2 linked regions of the Medicago truncatula genome follow. The protein of the gene in region 2 binds, or shares a complex with, the protein of the main gene of each other region. Links are inferred from orthologs where the notes say so. Each region holds a gene or a part of one and is shown on either strand. Other genes may lie near its edges.

Region 1 (2,683 bases), on a different chromosome or scaffold from region 2:
AAAAGGCAGGTAAGGAGAACTCTAGAAGGAAAAATCGTTTGTGAGAAACCCTTGGAAAATAATACAATTATCCACATATGGCAGTGTTTAACTGAATCATGCTTCAGGTTCATGAGGAGGATAAACCAAGGAAGAATTGGAGAAATGCTCCATGGAATCTGCTAGGTTTTCTACTTTTGCGTACGCTACTATTATCCACATATGGCAGTGGAAGAAACCAATCACAGTTATTCTCATTTGTGGCTCCAAATCCATGTTTTACGGATGGAGAAGTGCAATGCTGATAATTCCATCAGACAGTCTTTTCAGTAAGTATGATATGAAAAAAAATCTAAAAACAAGTATGGTGACTTCACTCTATTCAATTACATTGCACTCGCTAATCGATATCCAATCATATATTGAACACAGACTCTTCTAATATCAAAGACTGAACATTTGTAGGACTGGAACACCCCACACCAAAATCATCCCACCTATAAACATACCAACCATTTACAGTTGAACAACACATACAGCATATGCAATGCACTAAATCAGTGCTATTAAATACCGGCGCTACACCACTATAGCATAGCGGAATTTGGACAAATTGCTTTTATTCCACAATACGCTATTTAGTACAAAATGTTGTCATATAGAAGCTATAATGGCGCGATAGCCTTCTTTCATAGCGGAGTTTTAACAATAAAACATCATTTTTTTGGGCTGACAAATGCTAAGAGGATCATATAACTTCAACTTTTATTTCAACATATCCAAGCAGTAGTTTACATAATATATCACTAATAAACTTCATTTAAACTTTCACAACAACAAAATTACATCCAATTTAATCAAAACAATTGCATTATCCAAAACATTTTTTTTCTTACTCTCATACACAAATCAAGTGACTAAATTAAAAAGGTACTAAATATTTACTTTTTCTTCTTGCCAGCAACAGTAACCTTCTTACCCTTCAATGTCCTGCAATTGTTCTTGGTACGTTGTCCTCTACAAGGAAGTCCCTGAATATGCCTTATTCCTCTGTAACACTGAATCTCCTTCAACCTCTTTATATTAAGTGCATTAAACCTTCTCTGAAATTCACAAAAAAAAAAAAACCATTACAATTACAAAACAAAATAATAGAAAACAAACACACAAAAAATGAGATTTTTACCAAATCTCCTTCAATCATGTATTTGTTAACTTCATCCCTGAGACTAATAAGCTCTTCTTCACTCAATTCCTTAGTAACTTTATTCTCCATACTGATATCAGTTAGAATCTGTCTCGCTCTGTTCCTTCCAACTCCATGAATGTACTGCAATGAAAATTCAATTCTCTTGTTGTTTGGAATTTCCACACCACCAACACGAACACACACAATGTTCAGCCTTTGAACCTACAATTCAATCGGAATCAAAATCAGAATGGAATTTGGAATTTATCTTGAATTATGAAACCCTAATTGTGTTACCTTTGACTTTGGAGTGTTGAGAACTGGGAAGGAAACTCGATTGGAGAAGTGAGCATGGCCTTTGGAGATGATTGAGAGTGAAGGTGCCACAGGCATTGAGAGTGTTTGTACCATTTTTCTGTTCAACTGCGAAATGAAGTATTCACCATAGCCATATCCTTATCATTATCCCCTGAGAATTGATGTTTTTTCCTCTAAAAACACAGGGAAAATACGTTTTTGTCCTCACCAGTAGTTACGTTTCTGCTACGGTTAACTACCGTTGGCTTCCAGCGCAGTTCATTATCGTTGACTCAGCTGCATTTAAATTTAGTGTCCGCGGCGGAGCATCAATTAGTTTTAGTCCTTGCAAATTTTTGTTTTTGGTTTTTAGTGTCTTCAAATTTATCATTTTTTTCTTTTGATCTTTATTATTTTGTTTTAATCCATGCAAAATTAATTCATATTAAAACTTTTATTCATGTGATATAAATGATACTTGACTTTAACACTTAAAATATTGACTAAATAAATATTACACGTTTCAGTTTAAGTATAAACATATTTTGGATTAAAACAAAACTATAAAGACCAAAAGTTAAAAATGATATATTTACAAGTACTTAAGAAAATTTAATTTTTTACAAGCATTTAAAAACAAAAACTTATACATTAAGAGACACTCAAAATATATTTGAACCAAAGAATTATCGATATGCATAATTGTAAAGGACGTGGTATGAAAAATCCAATGAGATAACTAGGCGACAATAGAAAAATTTATTCAATATCAATGTAAAACTGTTAAACTTGTTTATAAAAAAAAAGCTTGTTTTACAGTGATAATGCAAATCCTTTAAAGTCAAATATAAATTACTATTCTAGAGAGTAATTTCTTTGTTCTTTTTTCCTTTCTTGCTTCTGTTTTTTTTTTTTCTTTGCCTTCGTTTCGTAACAAAAAAAAAAATATATAATTCCAAACCTCATGCATCATTTATATTTGACCTAATTTGTTTATGATAATTTACTTATATTTAACCAAATTTTATGATAGTCTATGCTAAATCAAATGTTTATGATAGTCTGTGCACACGTCACAAAATATTTACACTAGTATAATAAAAGAGAAATTTATATTCAACTCTATAAAACTAACCAATCATGATCAATAATTTAACTTGTAAAAAAAATCAATAATTTATGTAAAAAAACAAAAATTATGATCAATAATTTCAAACG
Region 2 (3,296 bases):
GTATCAGAGAGGTAATGTTAGTTTATTCATTCACAGATAATAAATGGTGTAGTGCAAAAAAAAATTGCAAGCCAGCAACCTAAGCTAGCTAAAATCTAAATCTCTCTACAGAATTTAGCATTGTGTGTTGTGCAATTATGTTGATGGTAAATTGTATTTTTTATTTTTGTGTATTTTTTAAATGTGTGTAAGTTGTAGAAGTAGAAGATTTAAAGTAAATGACAGATAGAGATAAATACAAACGGTGTCATAAACGATTTTATATTTTGATATTCAAGTAACGAAGATGCATGCATTTTCGGCGTCACAATCAACATGCTAGTGGTAAAGTGCACATCTATACTACGGCAAAAATAAATATAAATTATTTCCATTTGCTATGTAGCAGTTCCCTCCTGCTACTGCTATGACTTTATCATCCGGTTGAAAACCAAGGAACTCCAGTCGCTTGTAAGGTAAATTTACAGGCCATTTGATCCATTCTCTTGTAATTTCTTTTTCTAATAACTTTTTGTAGAAATGCATTTCACCTTCTCAATTTATGAAATTAAGCAATATTATTCTCCAATTCATCACTAGTCATTGTAAACTTTCTTCCTAATATGATTTAAGATAACAAAATGAACTTCTACCTCTAAATATGAAAATTTAGACTTGATATGTGAACAACCGAATGGCAAATTGGCTAATATATAGCACTTTGTACTAGGTGTTATAACTCTGCAGACTGCCAGTAATAGCACCTACATCTCTCTTTTAGTTTAATCCAACCTTGTTACAAAAATACTTGAATCCATATGAAAATGAAAGAAAACATACCACAACAACAAATGATGATTGTTACATTCTTTTTTTCAGAGCTACTGGAGATGCCAAAATAAACTAACATTTCCTTTTTCTGATTTTGAAGCTTGTTGATCGGATAACATTATCATCCCTCAATAATGTTTGCTCAAGGGCGGTTATGGACTCAGGCTTCGTGAAGTAGGTGAATAGGAGGTAGATGCCATCCATATACGTGTTGGTTTCTCCTTCCTTGTTTTTCTTCTGGATGTTATATGCTAGTGGAATAACACCTCTGTTAAAAACCTCTACATACATGCCACCTCCAGCAACAAGAAGCTGCACGAAGGAAAATCGTTAGGATTAGTGTTTTATTCCAATTAGAAAAGAACAAAGCCTATCTGCCTATGTTTTCAGAAGAACAAAGCAGAGAAATGAAATGAAATGACTGTGTAAAGTGTTTGTTTTGAAAGAATGGAAACAAGGTAACAAATCAAACAAACATAGTGAATGCAAATAAAATAATCACTGAATCATGTAGTTAGTATTGGTGTGATACAGAATTATACTGATTCATGTACAGACAGCCCTTAGCAATTGTATGTTTGTTGATACGAATTCTCAGTTTGCGGATTGATTGCAATTCTAACAAATACGGTCGCCTCTAGTATAGTATCACACACATATATAAAACCTACTCATCATCAAGCTTCAAATGGATTAACTTAAGAAACAAAAGGTAAGAGAAAGAAGTAAAAAGGTTAAGAATTTGACCTCCTCGTACTTCTGGGTGAGTGCAAGACGCTCATCCTCAGACATGTCAGGCCTCAAAACAACCATGGTTTCGTACTGTCTGAGTCCAGGTGGACATTGCGGTTCTTCTTTCTCTTCCACAGCAGTGAACCCGGTTCCGGGAGTAACCGGGTCATCACCCGAACCAAATCCACCTTCAAAGAAAGAACCAGAGAAGTCTAGGGTTTGTGATTTAATGGAAAAGTTGTTCCTGTTTTGGTGAAAGTGGGAAATTGATTCAGGAAATGCACGAAATGGTGAACATGTGTGAGGAGTGCAGAGATAAGAAGAAGATGAGAGTGGAATTGAATTGAGTAAAGAGGATGCCATTGATGCTTCTGCTTAGGAGAAGAAGAAGATGAACTGTTAGCGAAAGAACGGATAAAAAAAAGATAGAGTCAGATAAGGCCAACTCAGTGCGTGCACACAGCGCAGTGTAGAATTCACTCGGTATAAGAAAAATTAATTAATTTTTTTTATGAAAGAAAGAAAAATTAATTTTAAATAAATTGATTCTGTAAATTTGATTTTGATTTGTTTTGTCAATAACTCGTCTAAAAGGAATAGGCCACAAGAGATGTAGGGTTCAAAATCTTACCATACCCTGTTTTACAAGATTGACATGTTGAGCTGTCAATGTTTTTTTAAAAAATATTAATTAAAAATTTCACATAAATAGTGTAAAAATATATAAACTTAAGTCAATTTAAGGAAATCTAAATGTATAATGACTCCTCTATAAATATGAAAATAATTCAAACATATAAATTGCATCATCTAAATAAAAATCAATAATAAATCAATAAGACATTCAAAATAAAAATTTCATGAGTTATCAATTGATTAATCGTAAAAAATATGAGGCTAAAATCATGAAACAATTTAGTAATCAATTGACTAACCGTTAAAAATATGAGGCTAAAATCATGAAACAAAAGTGATAAATAAATTGAACTTTTTTCCCCAATATAGGAGGAGAAAATTGAAAAATTAATTATGAGTTGTGACTTTTATATAAATAAAAAGAAGTAAAAAAGAGAGTTTGTTTTTAAATGTTAATCTAACGGGCCAACCCACCCCACCTCATCACCGCCCCATTTTTTAGTTGATTAGGCGGAGCGAACACCCCACGTAGCTGGTTCAAAATCCCAACTCAGCTCGCTAAAAAATGTGGGTTAAACAGGTTCAACCCATTTTATCATCCCTAATTAAAATTGAGTTGAAGTTTTTTTTTTAGGAAAAAATTGAGTTGAAGTTAAAATAATTTCTATTTAGATATTTTCTGCTAATTTATATTTTTATTATATTGAGAATATTATCATGAATTTTATATATAACAATTCTCCAAATTATCATTCAAACAATATAGTTTACCAAAATGATTTTAATTCATCCAAAAAGTATCATTGTTGGGCTACCTTTATGAATTCTATTTTTTTGGGCCAATTAACAGATTTCAAAATTTGTAAGGGGGTCAAACTATAATTTTGAAAAATTTTGAGGGGTCAATTGTCGTTTTAAAAAAAAATCAGCCCAATTTGCAACTTTTTTTGAAATTTTTCAGGGGATAATTTCAAAATTTTGAAAAATATGGGGATCAACTTGCAAAATTTGAAAAATAAAATATAAGAAGGAAGAAATTTGAAATTTCCTTGCTTTTGGACATTTGAAATTCTCTAAATTTAATTTTTTTTTTTGTGGGGTCCGAGGTTTGAACCTCG

Evidence for each region.
Region 1: 30S ribosomal protein S6 alpha, chloroplastic (region 2) and 30S ribosomal protein S13, chloroplastic share a complex: the UniProt entries of both Arabidopsis thaliana proteins name them as parts of the 30S ribosomal subunit. The link is inferred for Medicago truncatula from reciprocal best matches to the Arabidopsis thaliana genes AT1G64510 and EMB3137.

Annotation. Positions count from the first base shown.
Region 1 is NC_053044.1:36,447,113-36,449,795, forward strand, and holds 30S ribosomal protein S13, chloroplastic, read right to left. Parts: upstream 1,629-2,683; 5' UTR 1,580-1,628; coding exon 1,466-1,579; intron 1,391-1,465; coding exon 1,166-1,390; intron 1,083-1,165; coding exon 921-1,082; 3' UTR 773-920; downstream 1-772. UniProt on the Arabidopsis thaliana protein: Located at the top of the head of the 30S subunit, it contacts several helices of the 16S rRNA.
Region 2 is NC_053049.1:46,338,408-46,341,703, forward strand, and holds 30S ribosomal protein S6 alpha, chloroplastic, read right to left. Parts: upstream 2,013-3,296; 5' UTR 1,906-2,012; coding exon 1,558-1,905; intron 1,123-1,557; coding exon 883-1,122; 3' UTR 663-882; downstream 1-662. UniProt on the Arabidopsis thaliana protein: Binds together with bS18 to 16S ribosomal RNA.